Caenorhabditis elegans: one gene and its partner. The protein of the gene in region 1 binds, or shares a complex with, the protein of each later gene. Each region holds a gene or a part of one and is shown on either strand. Other genes may lie near its edges. The genes, in order: nud-2 and bicd-1.

Region 1 (4,409 bases):
TTAGTCTTTCTCCCACACCATACTGACTCATTTTTGATGGTATTTGGCGTCATTGCCTGAATTCAAAATTGTTGTACTGTTTCAAATAGGAGTCTTGCCTGTTTGCTTATTAATTTTAAATTTTTAAATTGAAATTCCCTGTTAACCTGGTTGGGTGGACGATTTCGAGATTTATCGTCATGAAAAGATGGCTTTGAAATTATTATTTTCCACTAGGCCAAATTCAAAATTCTTCGTTGAACGTTTTCAATTAATTTTCCGGGCGAGCATTGAAAATATATGTATTACTGTAGTTCTCTTAGTACGCAAGTTTTTTAATGCAGCATATTTGACGACATATTGTGTAACAGATTTTTGAAACCATCTTTTAAACTAAATGTTTTTTCTTCTTTTAATTTTCAACAATTGCTTTGAAATTTTGCACCATTTACTCTTTTACGAAATTTCTGTCTTCTATTCTTGGCAGTTTTGAGTGTTTCTAAACTCGGCATTTTCATTGCTAAACACGTATTTACTCAGCTTTTGCTTGCCCCCGAACAAAAAAGTTTTATGATCAGTTCAGTTTGTCAGAGCACCAAAATGTCAACACAGAGCTCTCGCTCTTCGATTGGCACTTTACGAGTGAAGTCAAATACTGATTTGATAGGCTTCTCAATGTGGAGGAATCTTTTGCGACGATCGCTTTCTTTTTTTGTTCACCTGTTCGTACTATTCAATTCTTCAGCAGAGTGATGTTAACCTTGATCGTGTCATGTCGACCTGAATAGGAAATAGATGAATCGTATAGTTTGTGTGTATGTGAAGCACTTTTCTCGTTCATTTACATTTTCGAATATCAAATTTAGGTGTGGTACTGCGGCGCGGGAAAAAACGCGAAAAACAGATTATACCACCCCCAACTCTCCTCGTGACGTGGCCCAGTGATTCGTGAATCCTATATTAACCGCTGAAATTGGTCATTTATTATCTCAACCGGTTTCGTGTTTCTGTTCACTAATTCGTACGATTTTCTGTGTTCACCACACCTAATCCAATTAGAACTCAACAACTCGATGAGTCATGCGTAGGCGTTTTGGAATTTCATTTTTTAAATGTTTGTTAATACATTTCATTCTCTCCAAATTCTCACTTACATCATTAGTCTCAATCGTTACAACTAAATTGACCCGCTTAACTTGAAAATCTTTCAAATAATATGCTCAATATATTCTGCATTCCTTATTCTATTTGTTATCAGTTATTATACGCGACCATTGCCGCTCCCCATTCCTCCGACTGCTGCCTATCGTGAGTTTGACCTGAATTTCGTGTGGGAAATTGGACTGTTATATGAATTTAATTTCTATTTCCGAAGTTTAATTATCGATTACTAAAATTGATTGCCATTTCTGGAATACTCTTTGAAGAAATTTACCAATTTTTCTTTTAACACAGATTTTCTTGAATGACTATTCTATTCTATTTACAAAAAGTGTTAATTTTTTCGGAATTAGTTTCTTATAGCAGATTTCTTTGAACTTCATCAGTGTATTAAACCCAAAAAACAGTAAAATTTTCCTTCAAAGTATTTTGAAATCTTCAAAGGTTATCTGATCTTAAAATTATTGCCTATTGGTGTTACTCGCACAGCTGTTCGACTTTTTGTAGCGGAAGTGCGGACGAGCTATGGGAGCAAGGACAAACACAGAGCACACGGCGGCCGGAGCAGCCGGAGCACCCCCACTTTTTTGTTTGCTCGAATGCCTTGTGTCAAAAACTTTGGAGGATTTTCCATCTTTCCTCAGAGAGATGACTTTAGCTGTCTATCAGATGATGGCGACCTTAGATATCCCGATTTATAAGAATACTGAGACTTTTCTTCAACATCGTTAAACCTCAAAAAACATCCATTTGCGGTAGCAACTAATACGTAGTTGCTTCTGTTTTCCTCCGTTCGACCAGTTCTCTTTTTCTCTCTTTCCCAAATGTCCATTCTATTCTCTCACTTTTTGTCCACACGTGGCCGAACGTTGTAAGGGTTTAGTGTGTTCACAGGCGGCATTATACGTTTTTTCCTACGATTCATAATTTTTGTTGAATATCCTGAACAATTTTCTAAACCTTTAATATTTTCAGATCATCAGAAATCAATGGATTTGTCTGAGGATCAAATTCGCGGACTACCGCACCATGAGCTTCTTGGTCATTTCTTGCAAATGCGCGAAGAGTTTAACGAGTTCCAGACAAGTTCCGCGGAAATTGAGAAAATGATGGATTCAGAATTGGATGATTTGAAAACACAACTGAAAAAAGCAGAAACCAGAGTACAGCAGATGACCACAGAGCAAATTAGGAACAAGGTTGGTACTATTTTTTACATTAAAATTGAAAAAAAAAACTTTATAAAATTTTTCAACTATAATTTGAATTTTGTGAATTTTAAAGGATCGACAGGACGATTCCCGTGTACAATTTGCACAAGTCGAAGAGCAATTAAGACGAGAAAACTCACATCTTCATGAACAATGTGAAAGTCAGAGAGAAAGAATTCGAAAACTGGAACAGAGAAACGATGTGCTCGAAACATCAGAAAGAAATAAGGAATATCTAGCATCTGATCTCGGATCGAAACTGGATCATGCTATTGAAAAGATAGCAATGTTGGAAAGTGAGCTTTATGAACGGCAAGTTGCTGCTGAAGAAATGCATAGATTACGAGAAGAACAACTTCGAACAACAGAACGGCCACGTTTGATTGTAGAACCATTGAGGAATGATCCAGAAATTCTGCCGGACGAGCCATCCCCAGGTCCAAGTAAAGAAGAGTTTAAAATGAGTAAGTATTTGTCGCATTTTGAGAATGAAAATAACTAGTACTATTTAAGGCTCGGAAGATGTTTTCATGGAAGACGTGCAGCACCACGAAGATGTTCGAATGGAGGAAACTATTGCAAAAATTGACGAAGTGCGCATCGATGACAATAAAAATATTCAAGAAAAAGTACGTAAATTTTCTTTTTTTGGTGGATTTTTGAAAGTAAATATCCAAATATTAATTCAAAGAAGACCTGCAAATTTCGATCAATTAATAGCTTCACACCTTATTTCGGAATGAAAAACATTTAGTCGAAAAACTCTTGCAGCGAGTTCTAATTCTTTTTTCCCTCACAACTATAAACGATAGCATCTCTAGATGCAGAATAGACCGAAAAAACAATATTTGCTAACCCATTTATAGTTCTCAGCCAACATTTACATAGCTTTCAGAGCCAACGAGTATCTACCGGTACGGGCGCCGGTGCTTGCATCAATCGAATCGTCAAAGACCTGATGACAAAAGTCGAGCGGCTCGATTCAATTTTATCGACGATTCGCGTGAGCAACAACTCGTCTAACAACAATTCCAGTCATCTTACAACGACACGGGCTTAACATTTCATTTTTTGGTTTTTCTCACCTTTCTCGCATACTGTGACTTTTCATTCACTCAGGGATCCTCCATTTCATCATTTCCTTCGTTTCTTTCCGTTATTATTCTTTTCCATGACATCCTGTATCATGCTTATGTTTTATTCCCACCCAATTGGTATTAGACCCCGATTTTATTTGCCCCGCCTTACTGTTGCTCAATATAAGTTCCACGTTCGCCATTCACCCACATTATTTTCCAAATTTCTAAAGTGCCTACATATTTCTAATTTTTCTGTTAAAAATTTATATATCCGTCACCATGAATAGTTAGTAAAGGAATGATTTCAAGAAAAAGTGAGCAAAATAAATAAATAAATACAATTTGAATTAATCTTTCTAGCAATTTTTGGAGACAGAGAACGCCAGCATTCGTCCTATCACCGAGTTGTCACAACAGCACTCAATCGATTTTTCTGAAACTGTCAGAATACAAACATCCTTTCGTGAACGTGTCTGGCAAGTGAAAATGGTCAAATCCGAAGAAAATGCGTTAACAAATAGAGCAATTGACGAAGGATTAATGGGATTTTCGAGTTGTATCACATGCCGATTGAGACCTCCAAGACGACTTCTTTCTTTTGAAATATCTTCTGGAGACAGACGAATTGGTTGAACTTGCTCACCATATGGGACCTAGAATTTAGGAAAAAATTTAGTTTATCTTTAAAAGATGCGGATTGTGGAATCTAGTCAGGAATTATACAAGTTTTGATATAAAATATTAACCATCAAGGGAGTATTTACGTTTTTCAATTTTTTTTGTGGAAAAAATAATTTTAAAAGCCTCTGAAACTATTTAAAAGATTACCTCAAATCTGAAATGCTTCTCATGACCATCATCTCTTGTAAGTATCCATTCTCTACTTGTCGCACTATCTCCAAAATCTACGAGCAAATCAACAGAAACTCGTGCTCCAGACGGAATATCTCCAATAATCGAGTTTCCCTTCACATCGAGA
Region 2 (8,111 bases), on another chromosome or scaffold:
AATGAAGTCTATAAGACAAAGTTATAAATTTATAGAGATACTTTATGTATGTTTTTGAGATTTATTTTGTTACTAGATCTCAATTTTTCAATGGCATTTTAGTACTGTAGAGTGCAAGAGAAATCTAGCCTTATTCGAGAAATAAGTTTTTTACTGTTTATATTTTTTGATAAGTTTTTCAAAAATTTTGTTCGTTTAATGTACATCTTTTTTTTTAGTTCCAAGCGAAACACAATATTATTTTTCATACTGTAATACATATATTCGATTATTAATCAAAAATATTTTTTGTGTTGTTTAAAAAATTGTTTTTAAATTACAAGAAAAATTGCATGTCTGCAAAACTTTGATCGACTTCTGCAAATTTTTTAATAAGCTTCTACGAGTTTTACCCAACTGTTCTCTTGCATACGTAATTTAAATTTTTTCTCGTTTGATTTTTTTTTGTTATAATGACTAAAATGTTGTAACAAACCAATAAAAAAGAACACATAATAAAAATACCCAAAACAGAATTGGTTGGAAAAATATGCAATAGTTTGAAACATTACCCGAATTCTGAAAGGTTTTTAAAGTGAAGTAGCAAAATTTTTCAATTGATTGAAACATTAGAAAAGAGCCAAAACTTTCAAAAAATCTATACTTAGCGCTAAGACTGTCATTTTTTGTCGCAGCGTCTGGAAATGAATTGTTATAAAAGCATGATCAGTTATCACACTATTTTGTAGTATATTTTAAATTTATTGGAATACAAATGTTTCAAAATTTGAATGCCAGTAGAGTGCTTTAAACAATTCCGGAATAAAGACTCAAACTAGAAAATTAAGATGATAAATTGAAAAGTTGAAAAAAAGCCCGTTTCTAGATTTAGACTTTAGGAGAATGCGATTTTTAAAAATAATTTTCATCCGGCATAACTAAAAAATTTTCAAAATTTTCAAGAAATCACATTATGAAATTCGGCCATTTATGCTCATTTATAAACAATTGTAGTTAATTTTTGTACAATTTCTGTCGCTGAGTGCAAAAATAAGTAACCAAAGTCTTCAGAGCATTAAGGTAGTTTCGCCCAAAAATTTAAATTCTAGGTTTAAGCTTAAAACGAGAGCTATTCTTTGACAGTTATTACTCGCATGGTTAATATCAGTTCCTTGAAAATCAATCAATAACCCCAAAACCATATCATTTTATGTGACTAAACTTTCCTTCCAAAAAAAAAAGAAAAAAATGATCTGACTCATCAATTTCCGGTGATTTCCCCCGTCTTCCGTGCTCCACCCAGAACGGTTTGCGGAGGCATTAGAACAGTAGTCTCGCCCCGCATTTGTGTCGATTTTGGCTGCCGAGTGAACAAAAAAAACGAAACAGCACTCAATATTTGTGTCAGGTCAGCCACTCTTTCTTCCATTCTCTTCTATTTGTTTTTTGTTCATTTCTATTCCCTATTTCTCTCTATTCTCTTTAGTCCATTCTTCATTTCATAATTCTACTGAAACTAGTGTTACCTCTATCTCTAAACTCTCCTCTCAACCTGTACTATTTCTCTCGCGGGAGCCGAAAACGAAAACCTTATGAATATACAATTAGTTTTTCGACACCCTCTCCTAGTCGACAAAACGCAAATTTCCAAAATTGAACCTGTCGCACTAATATCTTGGAAATTTTGAAATTTACTTATTCCTGGTTTTGTTTAATTTTTGTTTTTAAAAGAAAATGTGGTCATTTGAGAACATTTTATTTAAATTTAAATTTTTAAATTTTTTCCTGTTTCAAATTGTAATTATTTCAACAATTTTTTAAAGGAATACTCAGTGAAGTATTTTTCCCCCTTTTTAAGTTATTTTCATGTTTGATATTTCCAACTCTCTAACATTTAAATTTCAGCAGCCACAATGGCTGAATCAGAATTGGAGAAGCTTCGTCAGGATATTGCAATCCTTACAGAAAAATATGAACAAGCCAAAGAAGATATTCATAAGGCAGCAAATGCGGGTTTAGAATTGCTCCGTCAAAAGGAAGATCTAGAGAAACGATTAGCAGAGATGCAGGCAGAATTGGATTTGGCAAGAACTGAAATTGATAAAACTAATCAGGTAAGTATTCGATTTCGAAAATAAAAATCGGAAAAAATATTGAAAAAAAATTAATGTTTCAAGTAAATGGTAAATATTCGAAATTTTTCGTACTATTTCATTTATTTTTAAAATATAAGCATGCAACTATCAAAAAAATTTTATTCAGACTTACGCAGGTAGGTAACAAAAATATAGGAAAATTTTTCACTTTTTTCGTTTTGTTGCAGTCATTCTTACCATTTTTTTTAAATATTTCATAAAATTTTGAACTGTAAAAATATAGAAAAATGAACAATCAACATTTTTGTCAGCTTACAATTTTTGATGAAGATGTATGAGCTGCCAAAATTGAGCTTAACAAAAGACTAGTAAAGTGTTAACAAAATTATTATTGAAGCTCAAGTTGTTCAAGTTGCTCTTATTTTCAGACTCTTGCTGAATACCGTTCCCAACATCAACGGTCCACTCGAAGTGAACTCGAAAATGAAGAATCTCTACTCGAGGAAAGTTCAGCAAAAGAAGAGGAATATCTACAGAGAATTGCAAAATTAGAAGCAGATCTTAAGAAAAAAGAACAAGAATTGGCAGAAAAGAAAGAAGAATTGGAAAGTATTGAAAAGAAACATTCGAAAGAAATCGATTCTGGAGCTGCATTAGAAGATGAAAGAAGAAAACTTAGAGCTGAATTAAAAGAAACAAAAGAAAGAGAACAAAGATTAATTTCTGAATATTCAGAGTTAGAAGAAGAAAATATTGGATTACAGAAGACTGTTGCAAATTTAAGAGGAAGTCAAGTGGAATATGAATCATTAAGAATTGATAATAATCGATTGGAAGAGACTATTGAAATTATGAAAATGGCTGCAGAGGAAGATGAAATATTAAGAGTTATTGCTGACAAACAGGTGAGACACTTTGAAAAATTACAACTCTCTCAGAAACTTTAACAAGTTTTCCTAAAAATATGTGAATAATTTCAAACATTTCCCTATTTGTTTGGAATTGCAACTGCAAAAACATTATGAAATTTTCATGTCTATTCACTATTTATTTTTGATCACGATTTGAATCGTAATAAATACAATACAATACAATACAAAATTTATTAGGTGATTGAAACAGTAAAAAAAACGAAAACTAGACAACTTTTATTTTAATTTTATAACCTGTTATTATTATTTTATAGCTCCCGTTTTTCATTGAAATTTTTGAACGGGTCGCCTCAATGTATATTTTCAAAACCTCAATTTTTGTATGAAAAACTTTCCAACTTATCATAAATATTTCAGCTCGAAGAAGCTCTGCTCACAGCTCAACAAGAACGGGATCAGCGATTGGCAATGAAAAGAGAATTAGAACAGACAAGAAATGCAGAGCATATCAGTAGTTTAAATGATATGCTTTTTGGATTGGAAAGGCTTGGGGAGGTTTGTTTTTTTTGTTAAAAAATTAAAACAATTAACTTTTAATAAAAGTTTGTTTTCCTATTTTAAAAGTTCCTGTGAAATTTTGTTAAAACACTTATATACAAAATGTCTTTTGTATACGTGAATTTTAAAAATACATTTGATAACTGATAATTTGAAACTAAACTTAACAAGTTGGGAAGAAAAAATTGCTCTTAAAGAAAAATGAGCTTCACATGTTTCGTATTCAATTTATATTGGCCAAGAGGAGTGTTGTAGGCTTGTTCTTTCGGTATCGATTTTTCTATTATTTAGTCAAATGTTATTTTAATATTTCTGTGTTCAAAAGGCGCATGAAATGGCAGAAACACTTGAATTAATTGTTGAATGAAAGTGTGGCACATGCTTTTAACGGACCACACGCTCAACACCAAACATTTTTGTATAAATCTTATGAAACAGTAATTTTTTAGGACGGCGAACTGCCACCTCCACAACCTGGAGCAAGTGACCTCTTCAGTGAATTACAAGGATCAAGTGATGTAAAAGTTCGTGAACTGGAAGCTGCAAAGGAAGGACTTCAAGAAGAATTAAAGAGCAGAGAGAAGATTTTCATCGAATTTGTAACCGGATTAGCAGACACCCTCAATATTCATAGACCAACAAGTGAGTTTAAATAGAACATTTCAGTTTGATTTGGAGTGTGATAAACCATTGAAGACATGGTGAAAAGTTATAACATTCAATTTTCACCAAATTTTTCAATGTTTCACATTCATTTCATATTGGTCAACGGTAGTATTGGAGTCTAGCGTAGATGTATGTAGTTTTTCAGAGTTTTCAGGGTTTTGGGTGAATAAAAGCTTCGCAAATTTCCTTTAAAATGAATATTTTATCATATTTACAATTAGTTATATTCAAAATTATTCAATTTTTAAAAAATTAGTTCCCCCGTGCATTCCCTAACAAAGTTTTCTTTACAGATGAGCTCGACTACATGCATGCTCGTCAACAAAAAGACGTTGTACTAGAGAAAATCCAGAACATTGCTCGTGACACTGACCGTCATGATAAAGAAGGAGAAGAAAAACGATCGGGAATTTTGAAGGCTGATTTGAGGACACTTGTATTGGTTGCTGGAGAGAAAAGTGCTCAGTTGGCAGCTGCTCAAGTTAGTTTTTGAATTAAATCATAAAAGTTTCATATTGCGAACCAAATTAAGAACATTATGAAAATGTAAATGTTGAAAATTCAGGACGCAATGATTCAAGTCTCCGATCAACTTTATCAATTCTACCATCAAATGACACAGAACCAAGGAGTTCAAACAGAAAAGAGTGTACAAGAGGTAAATTTTATTTTAATATTTATAGAAAATGAACAGAACTTTGTATATTTCAGATTGTGAAAAAGTTGCGTCTATTGGCTCGTGCCAATGCAGAAGACGTTCCACGTGTCTCGTTGGCAGATGAAGGAGTTGAAAGTGGAACAGAGACAGATGTTAATGCATCAAGATCAATTCCATTGAATTCCGATCGTCTTGTTATTGCGCCAAGTTTTGCGAAGGAAATTGAGAAAAAGTTGGCAAGTGTCAAGATTGGCGATGTGTTGTCAGAGACTGATTTGAGGCAAAGAATACTTACTGGTTTGTTTAGTTTTTGAATCGCAAAAAAGAGCTGGATACAAAACTTTTCCAAAAATGTACAAGTTTTAGAGAAGATGCTACAATTAAAAAAAACAACGAGATTTTACGAAAGACAAATAAAATTACTGTTTCAACCAACTTTTATCATAAATTGGGTTTATATTAGCTATTTGAGTCGAGGTTTCAACACTACATTGAATTTACTGTACTTACTGTATACTTAGTATACTTAGAATACTTACTGGTTTGTTTTTGAATCGAAAAATTCAAAAAAAGAGCTTTGCCAAAAGACAATTCTTCTTCAAATACTTCATTTGGTTGAAAATATTTGGAATGTCTAGCAATATTTAAATCGATTAATAGAAGCAGGAAAAATTTATTTTTTATTCGAATTAAATTTTTCAAGAATAATTATTAGTTTTAGAGAAGTTGCTGAAATAAAAAAAATTTTGGAAGATAAATAAAATTACTGTTTCAACCAACTTTTTTTTTCCATAAATTGGAATTCTATGAGCAGTATGTTTTTCAATATTGCATTGAATTTACTACTTTGTATCAAACATTCATTTAAGGTTTGATGGCGTTAAATTTAAAGAGTGATTAAGACTCTTGATATTAAACGTTACAACTTTCAATTTGCCAATATACATCTCATTCTCACATTCGAATATATTAAATACATTATTTTCAGAAGGAAATGCCATTTCCGAAACCACAGAATCGTTGAAAAAGATGATTCAAGTGGTGAAAAGAACCTCTGAACAAGCATTCAATCAAGCAGTTATGGCAAGTGGAGCTGAAAATGAAATTGAAATGCAGAATATGAAATTGCGAAGTCTTTTATCAACAAAACGAGATCAGATTTCAACGCTTCGAACTGTTTTGAAATCGAATAAGCTGACTGCTGAAAGTGCATTGACTTCAATGAGAGAAAAATATGAATCAGAAAAGAAAATGATGATGGAAATTAATGATAAAATGAGAAGAGAATTGAAACAATTGAAGGAAGATGCTGCCACGTTTGCATCTCATAGGGCAATGTTCACTGCAAGAGGAGAGGAACTCAAGTCAAAGGTATTTAGTTTTGTTTTGAAACAGTTAGGAATTTCTAATTTCGGGAAAAGTATAGCTTTTATAATATGACATACGGTAGCTCTGTTTAATTACTAATTCAAACATTTCCATTCCAGATTCCCTATTACAAAATAGATATACTTAAATTGTATCTGTAGTAGTTGAAACAGAAACTATTTTTAATATTTAAACTTTTTAGGGTTATTAACTTTTACTTTGAATTATTTTTCTCGTTGGAAAAAAAATCGTTTTCTCAAAATTTACAAATTTTTATTTGGAGTCAAGTTTCTGACCTGGCAGCTTAATGAAAATTTCTCAAGTTAGTTGCTTTCTCAACAGCTAAACGTTAACAGATATTGACTATAGTTTGACAGAAGTTGTCAAGTTTTTAAAGAAAGTTTCCCCCAAATGCCGAGTTGATAGATGCGATCATCTTCTAATTAAAACTTTCCGTAAATGAAATTACTGTTTCACAAAGGATTTATTTTGAATTGAACTTCATTTTAAGTTGATAGTCATAGGGGTATATCTAACCATTTTCTCACTTCTATTGTATCTGTAGCAGTTGAAACATACTTTTTTTTTAATTTTCATCTTCGTACAGTTTGTTTACTTTGAATTATTTTTAACATTTAAAACTCGATTTGTTTTTTACTTGAATTTAGTGTCTGAACTCTGAATTTGAAAAAAACATATGGTCAAAACGCAATATTTTATCACTTTAATCGTATCTGGAGTAGTATCTTCTGTAAATTTTAAAATCAAATTTAACAATTTTCCAGGTGGAAGAACTATCAAACGAGTTGCGTGCAAATGAAGAGGAAAAGAAGACATTAAATCAACTTCTTCGTTTAGCAATTCAACAGAAGCTCACATTGACTCAACGTTTAGAAGAGGTTGAAGTTGATCGGGATAGGCAGGTATTTAAGAGGAGTAGTACAAGAGCTCCAACTAGAGAGGTGAGATATTAAAGGTGTAGTATCGTCCAATGTGACGTCTTTAATGGAATCACTGATTAAAAACCATAAAAATTAAAACAGTCTTTTTTTTAAAAATTTTTTTAAAAATAACTTTTTTAAAGTTCTTTATGACCCATTTTCTCTAATTTGAAGAAAAATCTCAACAGACGATACTCCGCCTTTAATTATGTTCACTGTTTCAAAACATTCACAAAAAAATGTTGAAATTTCAAAAAGCAATGATTTTTTGATATACAGAACACATTGGAAGGCGGATTGTTTCTTTTGGGGAATTTTTTCGAAATTTATTTGATATGCCAAGAATAACAAAGAAAAAACGAAAAAAATTGGAAAATTTAGTTTAAAACGATAAAAAAAACCTTTTAACAAAGACACAAATCTTTCGCCAAACGTACAAAACTGCCTTTTTAATATGACAATCCAATCTTTTTAAATCTTCAATTGATTGGTATGGAAATGCAGAAAAAACTTTAATTTTGGTGAAAAGCTTGAAAAAATCTTGAAATAGTGCTCGAAAGTTGAAGTTTTGCCAAAAAACTTTACGCACTTTTAGCTACAAACGGCAATTTTCAAGCACTATGTTATGATTTTCTGGAAAAGTTTTCGACAAAATTAAACTTTTTCTTACTTTGAAAAATCCAAAAAAATTGTTTTTTTCTTCTAGAAGTTAATTTAATCTTCTCCGTTTTCAGACCTACCAGCCACCGAGAGCAGTTCGTTATCCGGGTTCAACAACAACAGCTCAACAGCCAGCACCTTCATCTTCGGGGGGCTCGAGGGGAGGGCCACGCAGGGGAGACAATCAGCAATAAGCTGGTGGTCAGGTGATGACGTGACAACGATGAGAAGACGACGAACACCTACACCAGAGGATCCAAATGATCAAGAATCAATTAATACACAAAACCACGTCATCACCACGTGGCCCTAC

The links.
Region 2: nud-2 (region 1) and bicd-1 share a complex: the UniProt entries of both Caenorhabditis elegans proteins name them as parts of the dynein-regulating complex.

The regions. Positions count from the first base shown.
Region 1 is NC_003279.8:7,857,124-7,861,532, reverse strand, and holds nud-2 (Protein nud-2), read left to right. Parts: upstream 1-2,115; 5' UTR 2,116-2,129; coding exon 2,130-2,339; intron 2,340-2,424; coding exon 2,425-2,815; intron 2,816-2,864; coding exon 2,865-2,980; intron 2,981-3,246; coding exon 3,247-3,411; 3' UTR 3,412-3,777; downstream 3,778-4,409. Other genes in the region: apb-3 (AP-3 complex subunit beta), read right to left, coding at 3,787-4,083, 4,259-4,409. UniProt on the Caenorhabditis elegans protein: Part of a complex with lis-1, which is recruited to the nuclear envelope by unc-83, where, in turn, it recruits dynein to the nuclear surface and regulates nuclear migration in hypodermal precursor cells.
Region 2 is NC_003282.8:6,566,110-6,574,220, reverse strand, and holds the start of bicd-1 (Protein bicaudal D homolog), read left to right. Parts: upstream 1-1,884; 5' UTR 1,885-1,892; coding exon 1,893-2,093; intron 2,094-2,503; coding exon 2,504-2,980; intron 2,981-3,364; coding exon 3,365-3,502; intron 3,503-3,762; exon of another isoform or gene 3,763-3,783; intron 3,784-3,876; exon of another isoform or gene 3,877-3,897; intron 3,898-3,954; coding exon 3,955-4,147; intron 4,148-4,464; coding exon 4,465-4,652; exon of another isoform or gene 4,653-4,670; intron 4,671-4,736; coding exon 4,737-4,829; intron 4,830-4,882; coding exon 4,883-5,126; intron 5,127-5,295; exon of another isoform or gene 5,296-5,317; intron 5,318-5,817; coding exon 5,818-6,200; intron 6,201-6,303; exon of another isoform or gene 6,304-6,324; intron 6,325-6,707; exon of another isoform or gene 6,708-6,733; intron 6,734-6,982; coding exon 6,983-7,159; intron 7,160-7,399; exon of another isoform or gene 7,400-7,420; intron 7,421-7,872; coding exon 7,873-7,992; 3' UTR 7,993-8,111. UniProt on the Caenorhabditis elegans protein: Part of a complex with dlc-1 and egal-1, which is recruited to the nuclear envelope by unc-83, where in turn, it recruits dynein to the nuclear surface and regulates nuclear migration in hypodermal precursor cells.